3 linked regions of the Arabidopsis thaliana genome follow. The protein of the gene in region 2 binds, or shares a complex with, the protein of the main gene of each other region. Each region holds a gene or a part of one and is shown on either strand. Other genes may lie near its edges.

Region 1 (5,317 bases), on a different chromosome or scaffold from region 2:
TTGGGCTTTTTCCACTAGGCCCATTTTCAATTCTATGTATAAAAAGGTTTATTTATTTTTCAACTTGCCCTAATTTGTGACCATCTTCCTTGAGCTTGTTGTTCCGATGAAGACGGTCACCGGAAGAGTTAACAGTGCAAAGCCAATCTCTCTATCAAAGGCGGCTACTCTTCTCTCCGGATTCGTTTCTTCTGAGAATGGAGCCTCTCAAGATGTTAGCGCGTACCTTCGACGAGCTTCCGGTGCCTTTATTGAATTGAAGAGCATCCATAGGGAGATTAAATCAAAGGAGACGAAGCTAAGCTCTAAGAAGAAGAGGAAGAGTCATCGAGAGATGGGTTCGGAAGAGAGGAAGAAGAGTAAGAAAAAGAGAAAATCCAGCGAGATCGTTGTTTGAAGTTGATCAAAAAATTGTAGTGGAATTAAGAAAAGCTTTCAAATTTTGTGGGAATGTTGTTGTAGTTGAAAGATGTTCACTTGGTGAGAAAGATTTGATTTTTAGAATTCTCTTGTTTATAGTTTCTGTTATCTGCATTGAAATTATTGTTAAGGTTCAAAACTTTGGATTTTGTGGAGAAACTACATTGGTCACAAATCTGAGATGACCAAGAAAAAACAACTCTTCTGCGCCAATTTGCGACTCTGGCCTATACGTAATTGTTTCAATGACATTCTTCATATTGTTAAACAAAGGCATCAGGCGGCGCTTGTTCCGGAATCTGCACAACAAAAGCAACAAATTAATCTAAGAGCAATAAATTTTTTGGAAACAACTTAAATGATTAGTTTTGAGCAATTTACCTCCCCTGGATTCCATTTCTCCTTTAGCCAGATACTACTATCAACAGGATCACCACCTATTTGCAGCTCGGTTCTGCCGCAAATGATTCAAGTTAGAAACGTATGAAACATCATAGTATGTTTTGATTAACTCTGTCAACATGTTCAACAACGGTTTTTAACTATAGAAAAAACCTGGAAACAGATTGAGGACTTACCCGGAAGATGTATTTGTCGTGTTTATAGCAGGAGCAGTAAAAGATGCAACAGGGACATTGAAGTTGAATGCGGTCTGATTGTTCTGGGAAGTGTTTGTAGCCGGTGTTGGAGTTGATTGACCAAAGATGTTATTGTTTTGTGGAGTTGTGGCAAATCCGGGTCCAGGTCCAAATGATGCTGGTTTGAATGTTGTTGATGGATTGGTTTGGAAACCAGAGGGACCTGTGATCATTTGCAAAAGAGGTTTCAGATGATGGCGAGTCTCTTGGCCTTTAAGCAAAGTTTAACATTAGAAGTAGTACCTGAAGGAACAGGTTGAGGAGTGTTGACGCTGAAAGCATTTGGTTGTTTATTAAAGCTTGCAAAGGCATTCGGAGGTCCAGATGAACTATGTAGAGGAATCATTGGCCAGAGAGAAATATGGAAACAGAGTTTTCATGAAGGCACCCCTTTACGGAATTTGGAAAATGGAGAAAGCCCACAAAAGTTGATACCTGAGACCACCAGCGTTGGTATTGGAGAATGCAGTTTGTTGATTATTTGATTGTTGAGTAAAGCTTGCAAAGGGGTTCGGAGGTCCAGATGAACTATGCAGAGGAATAGTTGGCCAAAGAGAAATATGGGAACCAAGAGGTTATAAAGGTAACACAAACTTGTTTGAATATGGAATATGGAGAAAGTTAGTACCTGACTCCACCAGCATTGGTATTGGGGAATGTAGTTTGTTGATTGAAGCTTGCAAAGGCATTCGGAGGTCCAGATGAACTATGTCGAGGAAAAATGGAAACCGAGAGTTAGTTTGAAGGCAACACAAACTTTTTGGGATATGAAAATTGGAGAAATCCCACAAAAGTTGATACCTGAGTCCACCCGCATTGGTATTGGAGAATGCAGTTTGTTGATTAAAGCCAGAGAATGCTGGAGAAGGGGAATTGATCTGACTGGACTGAGGGAAGATACTAGGAGTGGTTGCAGCAAACGGGCTTTGATTGGCGGTAACAGAGCCTTTGTATGGATTCCGTAGAAAGTTTTCAAACTCGGCTATTTTGGAATTTTGCAGATTCCTCTCCCTTTCAACCTATATAATGCACCATAATAAGCCAGGAAAAGAGGAAATCAACTTATGTCTTATCAGTATGAAATGAAAACCAGTGTAAAGTATAACAAACACAAGAAAGGTTAATCTCACAATCGACTGTAGAGGTATTCCTCGTTTAGCTTCTTCATATGCCACTGCACGTAGTTCTTCATAGCTGATATCACCGGTAACATCACATGGAAAACTAGAAGAAAAAAAAGATAGAAAAAATCAGACACGTTTATAAAGAATGGATAAAGATCAAGGATGCTAAACCAAATGAAGTAATACATACTATTTCCAGTGGCCGTAGCATGTGAGCTTCCACATGGGTCTCTCATTCTTAAAATCGTCTTGCATTACCCGCTTACACGCAGCAGGATCTGTGCATCTTTGTATAGTAACCAAGAGAGAAACAGTAAATTTCCAAAGAAACAAACGGCTAAAAGGATGATAATTGATAGAACAAGCATATGTAAACATATATACACTCACTTATGATCTGCCGGCTGCGTCTGTTTACCAGTCTGCTGTGTAGAAGCAGCAGCACCACCACCAGTAGGTGTAGAAGCCGTTCGTGACCAAGTATTCTGATTTGCAAAAGCATCATCATGTCACCATTCATTCAACAGGCAAAATGCTTTCGTTTCTTAAAGAAGATGCACCATTTTTCTCATCCAAAGCCGAACGATAACTTGCATTCTATCAAAGCAATACTTGCATCTTAAAAGAGGAAAAAAACAAATTGACCTGGAACTGATTCGGTCTGCTGGAACCACCACTTTGTACACCAAATCCAAAAGGGTTCGAACTATTTTGTTGCTGCTGCTGCTGTTGTTGTTGTTGGTTTTGTGTACCAAAGCCAAAGGGATTATTTGGCTTAGCTTGTTGTGGATGAAGAAATCTACAGTTTTCCCCATACCTACAACTGCAAAAACAGCACAAAGGACGATGAGTCCAATAATTACGTCTCTAAGCTTCTACTATCACTAATCATAACTTCCGAAGCAAATCAACCCTCATTAATGGCGGAAACGAAGATTAGAATCTATCAAAGTCAATAAACTGTATGATTCATTTAGATTTCAGCTCAATAGACATCGTTTTCTAACACATTACCACCTTCGCACATCGATTGATTTCAAATTAAACCCCAGAATATAGAACACGAAACCTAAACTTCAGCAATCGAAACAAACTTCAAAAACTCTTATAAAACAACAAATTGAATCAAAACAAAAACTAGAACAGATGAAGAAGAAGATGATGATGATGAAAAGAGTATTTACCTGCCACGCTGAAAGTTTCTACACAGTTCCTTCCTCATACTCGCAGCTAAAACCTTCGAACTGTGTACGTATGTGCGTATATATATATGTAGTTTTGCTTCTCTCGAGAAAAATGAAGAAGCGTTAGATTGACGAAGAGTGTATCAACAGAACAAAAGGAAGTCTCTATGTAAATTACCATATTACCCTTACATATCTTCAAAGTATTTAGGGTTATAAACGTAACTCCAATACACTTCATCATCCTCATTCTCTTATCCATCAATCGTTACTTCGTTTCTTCTCTATCACCAGGAAAAAAGAAGAAGATAGCTCCTGAAGACAAAAATGGCGGTTTCTCTCCCGAACTCGTTTCTTCAGATTAGCCCATGTGTTCCTTCTCTGCAATTAAGAAAGGTAAGCTCGAAATCGATTTCTCATTCTTCGTCTATTTCTCCTCCTTCCCCAAAATCACTAAATTTGTTTGTGTTTTTTTTTCAAAATTAGCCGGTGATGGCGGCAGTGAAAGGAGGAAAACAATCGGTGAGAAGAAGCAGCAATACGGTGGTTCAGATAACGTGTCGTAAGAAGGAATTGCATCCTGAATTCCACGAAGACGCAAAGGTTTACTGCAATGGAGAGCTGGTGATGACTACAGGAGGAACAAAGAAAGAGTATGTGGTTGATGTATGGTCAGGTAACCATCCGTTTTACCTCGGGAATCGTTCGGCTTTGATGGTTGATGCTGATCAAGTTGAGAAGTTTCGTAAGAGGTTCGCTGGGCTTTCTGAGATTATGGAGATTCCTGTGCTTAAAGGAGAAATCATTATGCCTACTAAGAAAAGTAAAGGTCCCAAAGGGAAGAAGAAATGATGAGTCTTTTCTGGTAAAGCTTATGTCTTTGAATTTGTTGTCTTTTCAATTGAAGTCGAGATACTGCTTAGGCTGTTAAAAATTGTATGTGAATTTTCTTCTGAATGCTATTGGTTATGCTTTCTTTAAGATCTATTTGGTTTCATTGAGAGTGAGACTAGGATCTCAGAGCAATGATACAAGTAGTAGCGAATCTCAAGGACAAATCTTTAGCTTGTGAGTTTGGCATGAATTTGTGATGGATAATAGATAGATATACACTGGTGAGAGAAACATAGCAACAATGCCTATGAAATGGTAATTGCAAATGAAAGAAAGGTTGTGGCTTTTGCCACATTTTGTGATAATCTTGGAAAGTTATGGCATGAGATTAATGACTAGTGTAGGTAGTTGTTGTTGATGTGTAAGTGGTGTGTTGATTAGTTGATTGAGATCATTTTTACATAGATTTATAAGATGTTGAACATGATGATCATGGTCTATGTAAGTGTCTGCTGAAGTTATCAGGCAAAACATTTGTCTTCTGACGACGAAGTGGCGTACTAATAGTGAGCAGATTCTTGAACTGTGGCCATGGCGTAGGAGTATGTTTTGCTTGAGAACATAAAAGAAAATTTTTGGCACTTGAAGTTGAAGATTCTGTGATCATGCCCAATTGTATACTACTACTGAATTTGTGTGACCAATATTGAACAGAAACAGAATACTCCAGCTCAATCAGAGGTTTTACCAATATCAAGCCAAACCAATATCAGGCCGTCTCAAGCCCATTTGAAGACAGTCGAATGTGTGGGCTATTTTAGGCCCATTTCCTCTCAGCTGGAGTCTTCTGCTTCTTAACTAAGCTACCAAAGTTTTCACTGAAGTTCAAAAGGAAAACCTGTGGGCTTTTTAATCCGTTAGTAAATTGGGTTTTGACATCTCTACATACTTCATATGCTGATCGATGCAGTTGAATCTGAATAATTGAGTTAAACTAAATTCATTCGTTGGTTGAAGTCTTAGATCCTTTCTTATCAATGATTTGCGATCTTGACTAAAATTGAGTCTTAAAATATTATCTTAAAGACTTTAGACACACAAAAAGAAGGTGTTTTAA
Region 2 (5,605 bases):
CTATATATCAGTCAGTTTACTACTTTACATTGTATCTATAGGAGCAAATTGGTATATTTAGATCTTACAATGCCAATGAGCTTTCTTCTAGCTTTTGCGGATTCATTGCTGATATCTACTACTTACTAAGTGATTCTCTTGCATTTGTGTGTGTTCTATCATGATAGCTGCAATTGGCCGAGGATTGCATGAAGTACGCTATGGATTTGAGTGGTTTGTTACTACTATATTCTTCTTTGGGAGATGCTGAAGGGGTGTCAAAACTTGCATGCCTTGCTAAGGAACAGGGGAAGAACAATGTTGCCTTTCTTTGCTTATTTACGCTGGGTAGATTGGAAGATTGTCTGCAGTTATTGGTGGAGAGGTATTTCATTACTGTTCACTTGGCCGTTTGGAAAAATCAAATATGTGTCTTTTGTTATCTTTATGACAAGAAATTATCTTGACAGTAACCGGATACCAGAAGCTGCTCTGATGGCACGTTCTTATCTTCCAAGCAAAGTTTCGGAGATAGTAGCTCTATGGAGGGAAGATCTCAGCAAGGTTATTTTCGCATCTTTTTTTTGTTTACTGTGTCAATGAGAAAATTCATCATGTGGCTTTAAATTGCCTTTGACTTGTCATCAGGTTAATCCAAAAGCAGCTGAATCTTTAGCTGATCCTGAAGAGTACTCAAATCTTTTTGAGGATTGGCAAGTTGCTCTTTCTGTTGAAGCGAACACTGCAGAGACAAGGTATCCGAGCACTTATTTTCTGCTATTCGCATTTTTCTTCCATGGTCGTTATGGCTTTCGAACTGTAGTTCAATAATTATATATGTACCTAGATATGATTGTACGGATGTGATGGATGCCTTAGGAAAAGAACTTCATACTTGAGCCACTCATTTTTCCCATGATTATGCATTGAGATGTTCATACTCAAGCGTGTTATTATTTAGGCCAACCCAAAAAATTGACTCTTATTTATCTACAGGGGAGTTTATACCGCTGCAGAAAATTATCCATCCCATGCCGATAAACCTTCCATTACCCTTGTGGAAGCCTTTAGAAACCTGCAAGTTGAAGCAGAGGAATCACTTGAAAATGGAAACATCGATCACGAGGTAACTTCTTTTGGAAGTGATTCGTTTGCTAAGAAGCAAAGAGCTTTATTTTCCACAGGAGTAGTTACTGAATTGTTTTTTGAACTTTGTGCAGGTAGCAGAAGAAAACGGTCATGTAGAGAATGAAGGAGATGAAGAGGAACAACAGGAAGAAGAAGTGAATGAAGAAGAGGGAGTTGTGGATGCAGACTCTACGGACGGTGCTGTACTTGTTAATGGAAGTGAGGGTGAGGAAGAGTGGGGTACGAATAACAAAGGAAACCCATCAGCCTAATAAGCAAGTCAGTCCAGGATCAATGTTGAATAGTCGAAATTTTGTCTCTGGTGATTAAATTGAAACCTCTCCCCCAAAAAAGAAAAACATTTTGCCGCTTCTAACATTTCTATATGATTATATGTCTCATTACCCTTAGTAACACAATCTTTGAGTTGGCATAAATATGGGTTTAGTTATACGAGTTAACTTTATTATAATCTCTGCATCAATGTGGCTAATACTTGGAGACTTGTCTCTCAAAACCCCTCCATCTTTGCCAAAAGTGAACTTATCGTTTTTGTTTTGTTTTGCAGTGCTTACGCCACATCCCTAGCTAGATCCAGTAGCCGGCACCGATACTCCAAGGTAAAGATCTATCATCCTTATTCATGAGTTCAAACCTCTATGAAACTGGACCATGAATTAACTTCAATCATATATTTTTGGATCCATTTTGTAGCAGGAATCGATTCTTGGTGGATGGAGAGTATAAAGACGAAGATGGGATTGGTGGATTAAGGAATTTGGTGTTGTGGTTTTTTCAACTAATGATTGTGGTTTTCATCTGAAAGAGTATATTATAACACAGTAGAGAGTTATACAAATTTTCTGCTTTAGATTTCAGCTCAAAATTACAAATTTCTGGTGCATATATAATTCTTTGGAAGCCTTTATCACTTTAATTTCCACTCTTTTTGAATAACTTAGTTAAGGATTGTCCTATAAAGTTATAACATTAGCTATACAAATCTGCAAGAAGTATTTTACAACAAATGAGCTACGACAATACAACATGTTATATACAAAACGTAAACATCTTATTACATGCGATGACTATCAGCAACAATATCGATTTGGATATAAATATAACAAATAATACAAAAATATAAACTCGATTTATTACCATTTTTCCAATGTGCTGACAAGATTCGTTTTCTCTTTTATCACTCCCCTCGGCGATCTCTCTTCTTGCTCCGGCAGGGTTTTTCTGCTGCTCCTTGCTTGTCCGTAAGTTCTCCGAATCTTCATTTTCTCGCTGGTCTCGTTGGCCGAATCTGGATTTTTCTAATTCCCTTTTCTTCTATATACTCATCTCACTGCTCGCTGCTCTGGTTCTTAGGGTTTTGTCATAGTTCTGTTGTTGGATTTTTTTTCTACGGCTCCTTTTGAACCTCCTTGCTAGATTATCCTTGTGTGCGTTTCTGGAATTAGCTGTTTCTTCAGATTCCTGTTTTGTGTTTGCTGAATTAGTTTGGGGTTTTTGATTTCAAATTTCTTCTGTACTATCATATGATTTGCGATCGCGTGGTGAATTGTTAACATGTGCTCATATATACGCTCTTGTTGCCTCTAGATTTTTGTCTCGTGTTCATTATCAATTTCAATTGCAGTAGCATGTTAACTTAGGTTTCCTTGATTTAAAGAATCACACATTGTCTATGGTTGGTAACTTATGTGCGTACAAATTGGGCGTCCTATTCCTGTTTGGATGGTTACAGGTTAGAACTATGCTTTCAACATATAAGCTCGGGACTTCCTTATCCGCGAGATTGATTCTGGTTATTTGGTTGTTAACACAATCTTGATGTATCTTTTTTTTGTTGCATGGTGTTGTAGGGACTCTAGCTTGCCTGTAACTGTTAAGAGATTACAATGGGGGACTCCGATAATGCTATACCATTTTCCAGAAAGAGAACTGCTCTGAAAGAGCTGTCTCGTGACAATCCTGGTCTTGATGATGATGATGAAGACACTTCTGCACTCGAGAGTGGTACCTTCAACACTGCTAGTAAGGAGGTGTTGGCAAGCAGAAGAATTATCAGAGTTAGGCGCACAGATCGATCTGCTACTGCACCACCAGCTTCTAATCCATTTACTGGAATTCGTTTGGTTCCTTTTACTGCTCCTGCTCCTTCTACTGCTGCTGCAGAAACGACTAAACCTCTGTCTGCGGGAAAACAAGAGACACTGGCTGATGGAAGGTCTGATGCTACCAAGGAAACTGATGGTGACAGTAAAGAAAAGAGTGACGCAATTGATGCTGTAGGAAAACAAGAGACACAGGGTGATGAAATATCTGCTAAGACCAAGGATATTATTGATGGTGGAGAGAAAGAGATGAGTGAGGCAGTTAATTCCGTAGAGGGTGGTGGAGCTGTAAACAAGAATGAAGACGAGATTAAGACAACGATGGTTACTGAAGTTGCTGCTGGGGAAGAGACTGTAAAAGATGACAACAACAATAGCAACACTGTTGAGGGAAGTGACTGTGTTGTCAAGGATACAGGTGGTAATCAGACTGAGAAAGAAGGAAAAGAGGGCGATGGAAATGAAGACACAGAGAAAAATGGAGATAGTGGAGCCTTGAGCTCCTTCCACCAGCACTCAAGTAGCAAAAACGCATTCACAGGACTTGCTAGCACAGGGTTCTCTGCTTCTTCGTTCTCGTTCGGTTTGGTTCCACAAGAAGGTTCGACTGGGTCTGGTTCTGAACAGTCATCCTTCAGTTTTGGCCAAGCAAACAATGGAAACTCTTCCCTGTTTGGTGCATCCGTTGCTACTTCCATTACCACGAAGAGCACGGAAACTACTACTGCCTTCCCATCAAAGCAAGATGTTTCAGTGGAAACAGGAGAAGAGAACGAAAAAGCAGCCTTCACAGCTGACTCAGTAATGTTCGAATATCTTGAGGGAGGATGGAAAGAGCGTGGGAAAGGAGAACTCAAGGTGAATATATCAACGACTGAAAACAGAAAAGCCAGGTTAGTAATGAGATCAAAAGGAAACTACAGGTTGACCTTAAACGCAAGTCTTTACCCGGAAATGAAACTGGCTAAAATGGACAAGAAAGGAATCACATTTGCTTGTGTGAATAGTGTAAGTGACGCCAAGGATGGTCTCTCTACATTGGCACTGAAGTTCAAGGACCCAACAGTGGTGGAAGAGTTCCGAGCAGTTATCGAAGAACATAAAGACAGTAAACCTTCCGTTGCAGAAGCAGCAGCTCCTTTGAAGACACCTGAGAACTCACCGAGTGCTGAAGATGCTTGAAGGTTAAAAACTTTGAAACAACTCGTCGTCTAGTATCCTTGTGTTCTATTTGTCTATGTTGTTTGAAGTTCAAATTTGGCAGAGAGAATAGAGAGACTATATAGATCACTTGAACTCCTTATGGGTCTCTTATGAATGAATATTCGAAGTTACTGTTTTTAACATAATCTATCATATAACTCAGCATCAATTACATTCATAGTCATACATATCCGGCATAATCAGTAGCCAATCCAGTATAAAAAAAAAAACTCATTCAAGGCCAGACAATCTTGTCGCAAACGGAACATATGTTAGAATCCGGTTTCCATATAAACAATTGACAAGTATTTTGAGTGAAAACCATTTCTCTTAAGGTTGGTTTGGGGTGGGTTCTTGAATAATGGCTACATTACCTCTTTCCCACTATTGATCAGGATTTTGTACAGTAGTGGTTCGTATTAGTGTTTGCCGCCATGTTATGAACAATGTTCATGAAGTTCACCACAAGTGATGTGCTTCATCGTACAGTTGATTTGCAATGTTGCAAATAATATTTAAGATGGAATGGTGATCACAAATTGTCCTACGATTTTGAGATAGTTGTCGTTACAATATTGTTGGAACTGCAACTTGGCTCATGAGGCTTGATATGAATTTGCTAACGAAGATAAAGTTTCATGGGAATTTTGATCTCTTTGCTGTGAAATTACATGAGAATTGAAATTTTGATCATTGCATTTGCTTCCATGAAGAAAACCGGTACAACGGAATGTTCTTAGTCTAAAAATCAGAAATTGTGGTGGAGCCATACATTAGGATTCGACAAACACTGATAGTTTCAGGTCCTATTTAAGTTTTTTTAGTTCCTTTTTGTTTTGTTGATGGTTAATTTAAGTTCTGAAAATGATAACACTACATAGGAATATCAAGACACAAGGGATTAAAATTAGATTACAGGAATAAACATATGGAAGAGTATACAATTAGATTTGGAAGACTTGGCCCATGAGACTTTATATGTTTCTTGCCACGACTCACGAGATATAGCTTCGTGAGAAGATTGATCTCCTTATGGTGAAATGAAATTACATGTGAACTGAGACATTATGTTTCTATCATTGCTTCCATGAAATTGCGTTTCTTCTTCCTTGTTGTTTTTTTTTGTGAAGAAGAAACGCAATTTCTTCTTCCTTGAAATTACATGTCAATAT
Region 3 (6,384 bases), on a different chromosome or scaffold from region 2:
TGAGCTGTTACCATTTGGTTCTGGCCGGAGAATCTGTCCCGGGATGACGCTGGGAATCACCACCGTGGAATTGGGACTGTTGAATTTGCTTTACTTCTTCGATTGGGTAGTGCCTGTAGGGAAGAATGTGAAGGACATCAACTTGGAAGAAACAGGATCAATCATTATTAGCAAGAAGACAACCCTTGAGCTTGTTCCACTTGTTCATCATTGAAATGACGATCATGAAACAATTAGTCCATAAGATTATGTATTTGTATCCAGCTTCTTTATCTTGATATGGTTGTAATCATAATCTGAATAGTGATATCAACACAAGTTTTTGTTTTTTAAACAACTAAACACAAGTGTTTTTAAACAATTAAATTATGAGAATTAAATTATTTAATTAGAACTAGTTAGGATAAAAGACAAATTAATTAATTAGATCCGCAAAACGCATTACTATATTTGGGTTGGCCGCCCACGTTACCGTGAATAGAAAAGGTATTTAACAGAGACCAATTATCATATGCTTAAATTAAATAACAGGTAGGATTAGTTAACATTATCAAACAAAGAAATGGTTAAAAATGAAACAAGAATTGAAATAAAAGCAAAAGAATGCTTCTTGTGAGACAACTATAGTGTTACAACATTGATGAAAATTGAGATGGGTTTTTCTATCCGACGAAATGTTACAACATCAAATCAATAGTAGTTTCTGTAATCATTCCTCTGGTAATTCTGATTGTAGTTCGGCTGATTTAATTCAGCAGTAAGTTCAGAGGACAAGGTACTAGTCGTCTTCATAGCTCTTCCTTCAGGTTCCTTGAGATACATCCGGTCATCTAAGTACGCTGTGATTTCGGCTATGATCACAAGTAGATCCGACGTGTCCTTCTTCGCCCGCAATTTCTGCAAGAAATGCTCTCTCACAACATTCACAACCTTCAGAAACTGAGATTTGTACCTCTGATGAAGACCAAACCCAGCCGTCTACACATAAACATATACCACCGTTATGGTTTTAAAGACGATTTTATATTTAGAATCGGTAACCACAATCAATGCAAACCTGGAGAAAGGAGTTCAAGGCTGTCGCAGTGGCTCTGTTGGCTGGGATTTTGTTAAGGAACCGGGCTAACCAAGCCCATCCATGTTCTATCCCATGAACGTTAGTAGCATTGCCAACGCGGATATCGGTCTGTAATTACCATTAGAAAAAGACTCGCATTAGCGGATTATGGAAATAACAATGCATAAGAGATAGTTGCATAAAAGAGGCAAAAACCTGAACAAGTGCACCGTAGAGCCTCATTATAGAATCTAGGCGTTCATATGCGTCTGAATCCCAAGCTGACTGAATTCATTAGGAGATAATTAATAAGAAAGACACTATTTTTTCACAATTCTGTCAAAATAGATTTCTTAAGAAGTTTATTTACCTGTGAGTTTACAATATGCTTTGGGACAGTGTAAATGCAAGCTTTGTGGAATTCCGCGAGAAGAATATCCATAACTTGGGGAAACTGTAGGCATAAATGGTAGATTATATTCAATAACAGTAACAAGAACAAAAATGCACTGTACAAATCAAAAGTAATTTTGTACCTGTGAGTTGATGTAAACAATGACATAGCTGCATGCAAAAGGGTTTGGTTTTTCCTTAGTGGTGACCATCTGAAAGAATCAGCAAAACGTTAATGTCATCGGTTCACAGTTTCCTAATCATAGAGTCCAGAAGATAATCCAATAAATGAACGTATCAAAGAGTTCTTCACCAATTAGATCCGAGCACAACAGTTTGAGTCATTTTCAACATTCAACAATAGATGAACAAGTAAATCTTAAACAGACCAGATATAAAAGTTACCTTCTTTGCAAAAGCTGCAATACTTATGGATACCGGACAACGAGGGTCTTTAAATATTTTCACAATATCATTGATTTTCCCACTGCAAAGGCCCAAAGTAAACGTAGTTAAGAATAAAGAAAATTAACCAAAGTCCATGAAGAACGCTTAAGTAAGGTTACACCAAAACCATCTTAAATGTATCTAAATCTTTCTAACCAAAGGCTTAAGACTGACATTTCCACAAGTTAAACAAGATCAAGGCTATCGGAATAAAATGCTAAAAGAAGCTAGGCATATACCACTAGAGGACAGGAAAGGCAAAGCTGCAATGAAATGTAACAAATAATCTTAAAACCCTGTCTGGGGAAAAACTGATAAATTAAAGGCAGAAACCATGAACCATACCTTACACTATCCTTTGTCCCACTTATTTGCCTTATCACTCTTCCAATATGCTTCTCAAAACTGCTAAAGTTCTACAAGTAGTAAATAAGCAACATGACTTGTGAGCAAATGTTGATTAGACAGACAGATAAAACGGTAAAAAGATGTAGATACTTCATTTGAACGTGACTTAAGCGATTGGTTCGTTGTTTCTAGTTCTTCGAGCTTTTTCAATCTGTGGTTCTCCAATATCAAAGCACTTTCTGCAGCTCGGATTGAATTACCTTGCACAATTAATAAAAAAATAAACACAGTAAGAAATGAGATCACAATCTTCAATATGACAAAGAAAGAACAATCACAGCAACATAGATGAAAATAGATACTAAATAAAAGATAGCTCACCCCCAGCTTGAGCATTTGATGTAGCTGAACTCCCCGTAACACTCTCTATCACAGCCTTCTGTTCCGCAAGTTTTTGTTCGGCAGCTTTGCGATCTGCTACTTCTTTTTCAGCTACTTCTCTGGCTGCCTTTCTCTCAACTTCTTTCTTTTCTTCTTCAGCTCTGATTTTTGCTAGCATTTGAGCCTCTGCGCGAGCTTTTTCTTGACGTATTTTCTCTTCTTGATGAGCCCTTTCCTTCCTCCTGGCCTCCTCCTGAGCTTCCTCGCTCCTTATCTTTCTTTCTTCTATTTGCGATTTAATTTTATGTTCGCGTTGGACTGCAGTCAGATGGGTATCAAGTGCTTCAGCACTGAAAACAGCAAAAGAAAAACTCATTAAGAATTTGGAGACAATGGAAGAAGAAAAATCACAGTAAATGAACTGAACTGGTAAGAAAATGTATTCCTGAAACTAGAATGCTAGGAAGAATAGCTTACACTTTTCGCTGATATTGAAGATCAAGTTTCCGTTCAACTTCTTTCCGAGTCTCACTGTACTTTTCAACCCGGGCTATGGCAGAGAGAGACGTTTCAATCTCATTCATTATTTCTGTTTCAACAACTGATACTTGATTCCTAATGTCGTCCTGTAATTAAGAGAACCAAATGCTCAATTAATCAAGTACACCAAGCGAAATAAAACATTCCACAATATGTACCTCTTTATTAACAAAACAAAACAAATCTGCCCACCTTGATTTCGGTTTGGTGGTCGTTGATAACCTCATATAGGGCACTCTCAGCCAGACCCAACTTATTCATCATATACTCAGGTTCATGATCAAACTCTTCATCAGATTCATCACTGTATGAACAAAAAATAACCAATAAAAACATCAAACAACCCTCAATACGCCTTTCTTAATTTTGAAACAAACTAGCAAGGAAGAGTTGGTGATGATCACCTCAAGTAAAGCTCATCACAGGCAAAACGTTTTCCCGCTGTACAGATTTGACTATGATCTTCTTCTTCTTCCTCATCATCACTCTCTTCACCTTCGTCACTCTCCATCTCATCTTCTGAGACATGCATTACAAATCCTCCACCTCTCCTTCCCATCCTTTTAACATACCAATGAACACCAATACCAAACAAATTAACACAAATATTTCTGAGGCCATTGTTATTGGTCCTAATTCAATACAGAACTCCAGAATGAAGTAAACATAGATATATATATACCGTAAGGTTGTGTTAGTAATTGGCTGAGGATACATTGAGAAGCCATTGAGCTTCTTTTCAACAGAAGCAATCTCAGCGACCAAACTCTCGAAATTCCAATTAGGCTCAGGATCAATGCTAATCCCATCAACACTTTTAGGACAAGGAGGTTCCAAAACAATCCCCCTGCAAAAGAAAATTAAAACAGAATTGAAACAGAAAATCTCAGTAAAATCCCAAAAAGAACAAACTTTGTTTCCAAAGATGAGAAATTGAAGGAACCCGTAAAAGAAGAGAACTTACATTACACAATTGGGTGATTCCCTGATAACAAAACAGAAGAAGCAATAACACAATTAGTGAATCCTTGATAAACCCTATAAACCCCCTTGAAGCTTCAAGACACAAAACAATTTGGTTCACTCATAGGATCCTTGAATCATATTCTTTGCTCCACAAGAGATAGTCTCTGGCTTCTTCTGAGCAATAAAGACGAACTCATGCCTTGTTTTACAAATTCCCATAAAGCCCCTTACCTTTAAATTTAATCGTACTCTCTGAATCGAAGATTCTTGTGCTGCACAAATCTCGATGATTCTCTAACTCAACTAGAATACAAGCTTTAATATCCCCAACGGGACGAAGAAGCGTAATATCAACGCTATAGGAGCCGATTTCACTTAACCCCCAAAAAAATGGAAACTTTAGGATCGGAGAATCGGAAATCACGAACCAAACCAGACAAGAGATCGGCTTCGTTTTCTAAAAGTTCAAAAGAGCCCTATGCTCGAAAACGATGTCGTTTAGAATTAAGTTACAAACGGTTATAGAGAACCAGTCCAGTCGGTTTAAAATCAGATCGATCGTCGATTAGATTCTCCAAATTATATATGTGTGGAAAATATGCTTAGACCTAGACCGTTTCACAGAGTCCACAAGATTGGGCCTAAAAAGGCCTTGTAACATTTTCTTTCTTATGAAAATCGTTTTTTTTTCCAGAACAAAGTTTAAAAAACAAAATACTGTAAAAAAAAAAAAAAATTGTCGGTAAAAGAAACTAAAATATAGTAGCATGGTTTACGAAAATAGCTTTTTCATGAAGTAGAGTTTTGTGATGACAAAACCTAATCCATATATAATGAAACGTACCAAAAAAAAAAACTTAGATATATATTCAGTCAAGTTATGTTTGTTAAATGTTATACTTCTAGACTTCTAGTATAATAACTAGCTTTAAGAAGTCTACGTATATTTGTGATATTTAAAAATGAGATTTTTTCTTTCTTTCTTGAAGGTAAGCAAAAATCTCTCTCTTATTTACGAAGCAACAAAATCTTGTGTTTAGAACAAACACAAAAGGAGTATTTACTTGGACGTAGGTTAAACTTCAACGGTCGTGGAGTCCAACGCTTTTAAGTCTCCCTTAACTTGTGATTTGTGAAAAAGTGTAGTGAAATTTATAATTACGAGACAGTAATTGTATCTTGCAAATAAAATTACATTCAGGGAATTAATTACCAATATCAGATTTCTTAATTGTTAATTCATCATTAATTTTGTTGAAAGCCAATTAGTGGGGAAGGGTTTTTTACAAAGTAGCTAGTGAAGTACAATGCTAAAATAGCTGTATTACATACAGCTGAGATGAATAAATGGCATTGAAATCATTTATATAAATAGGTTAAATAAGTAAATAGATTCAGATAGTTGGTAACGCATTTGGTTTTGGGTACGTACACACATTAAACGCATATATCAACTACATGGTTGACAAAATAACACATACTGTTGAAAAGTAAAATTATGTGACTTAAGCATTCTAGATCTTAATTAAATAGTCTTCTTGAATCAAATCAAAATAATACCACTCAATACCAAAAAAAGTGATTATTTTTTTTCAGAAAATTTGTTGATTATCAAAAATATTTAGTATGTCTTAATTAATTAAGAACTTCATATAAGCAACAAGTACTGATCAGTTGACAAAAATATGTGGTGGTGAAAATACTGCTCAAGTTGATGCAAGGGTAAAAATTAAAGGCTTTTGTTATCATTCGTTGATTAACACGGACAAGAGGCTAACTAATATCAAAGTAAATGTTAAAAGCATACCTAATAATTTACGATATATGTATGAATAGTAAAGGAAGAACAATTTTACGACAGAGACATTTACTCCTCAACCCTCTCTCTATAAATAAGACTGTTGTCAAATCGATTCTCCAACACACAAAAGAACAAACTTCATACAAGAAATGACATCAAAAGAGCCAAAACACATGTTTTTCATTTTCCCATTCTTCTGTTTCTTCTTCTCCTTCATTGCACAAAACACCGTCCCAAACATGTCTTATCCTCTCTCCACAAGCTCCCGTTGGATCGTCGACGAGAACGGTCTACGGGTAAAGCTCGTGTGTGCGAACTGGCCATCACACCTCCAGCCCGTTGTAGCGGAAGGGCTGAGCAAACAACCAGTGGACGCAGTGGCCAAGAAGATAGTGGAAATGGGTTTCAATTGTGTTAGGTTAACTTGGCCGTTGGATTTGATGACTAATGA

The links. Proteins that work in one complex are often made in the same cells at the same time.
Region 1: AT3G15970 (region 2) and AT1G75340 share a complex: the UniProt entries of both Arabidopsis thaliana proteins name them as parts of the nuclear pore complex.
Region 3: AT3G15970 (region 2) and GLE1 share a complex: the UniProt entries of both Arabidopsis thaliana proteins name them as parts of the nuclear pore complex.

What each region holds. Positions count from the first base shown.
Region 1 is NC_003070.9:28,268,470-28,273,786, forward strand, and holds AT1G75340 (Zinc finger C-x8-C-x5-C-x3-H type family protein), read right to left. Parts: upstream 3,613-5,317; 5' UTR 3,405-3,612; coding exon 3,367-3,404; intron 3,257-3,366; coding exon of another isoform or gene 3,197-3,256; intron 3,006-3,196; coding exon 2,828-3,005; intron 2,668-2,827; coding exon 2,573-2,667; intron 2,469-2,572; coding exon 2,373-2,468; intron 2,283-2,372; coding exon 2,189-2,282; intron 2,078-2,188; coding exon 1,860-2,077; intron 1,765-1,859; coding exon 1,687-1,764; intron 1,587-1,686; coding exon 1,494-1,586; intron 1,388-1,493; coding exon 1,302-1,387; intron 1,222-1,301; coding exon 999-1,221; intron 875-998; coding exon 802-874; intron 720-801; coding exon 684-719; 3' UTR 501-683; downstream 1-500. Other genes in the region: AT1G75335 (nucleolar-like protein), read left to right, coding at 107-397; emb2184 (Ribosomal protein L31), read left to right, coding at 3,694-3,762, 3,853-4,218.
Region 2 is NC_003074.8:5,407,789-5,413,393, reverse strand, and holds AT3G15970 (NUP50 (Nucleoporin 50 kDa) protein), read left to right. Parts: upstream 1-2,240; 5' UTR 2,241-2,369; exon of another isoform or gene 2,370-2,860; intron 2,861-2,978; 5' UTR 2,979-3,014; coding exon 3,015-4,412; 3' UTR 4,413-4,602; downstream 4,603-5,605. Other genes in the region: AT3G15980 (Coatomer, beta' subunit), read left to right, coding at 168-364, 450-543, 628-734, 976-1,105, 1,200-1,379. UniProt on the Arabidopsis thaliana protein: Probably involved in nucleocytoplasmic transport via its interactions with importins and Ran, rather than by forming part of the nuclear pore complex (NPC) scaffolding.
Region 3 is NC_003070.9:4,468,644-4,475,027, forward strand, and holds GLE1 (nucleoporin GLE1-like protein), read right to left. Parts: upstream 4,677-6,384; 5' UTR 4,133-4,676; coding exon 4,131-4,132; intron 4,014-4,130; coding exon 3,849-4,013; intron 3,727-3,848; coding exon 3,571-3,726; intron 3,471-3,570; coding exon 3,359-3,470; intron 3,253-3,358; coding exon 3,104-3,252; intron 2,977-3,103; coding exon 2,627-2,976; intron 2,506-2,626; coding exon 2,396-2,505; intron 2,314-2,395; coding exon 2,243-2,313; intron 1,938-2,242; coding exon 1,856-1,937; intron 1,663-1,855; coding exon 1,594-1,662; intron 1,512-1,593; coding exon 1,428-1,511; intron 1,343-1,427; coding exon 1,274-1,342; intron 1,187-1,273; coding exon 1,058-1,186; intron 979-1,057; coding exon 691-978; 3' UTR 501-690; downstream 1-500. Other genes in the region: CYP71B7 (cytochrome P450, family 71 subfamily B, polypeptide 7), read left to right, coding at 1-214; AT1G13130 (Cellulase (glycosyl hydrolase family 5) protein), read left to right, coding at 6,083-6,384. UniProt on the Arabidopsis thaliana protein: Required for seed viability.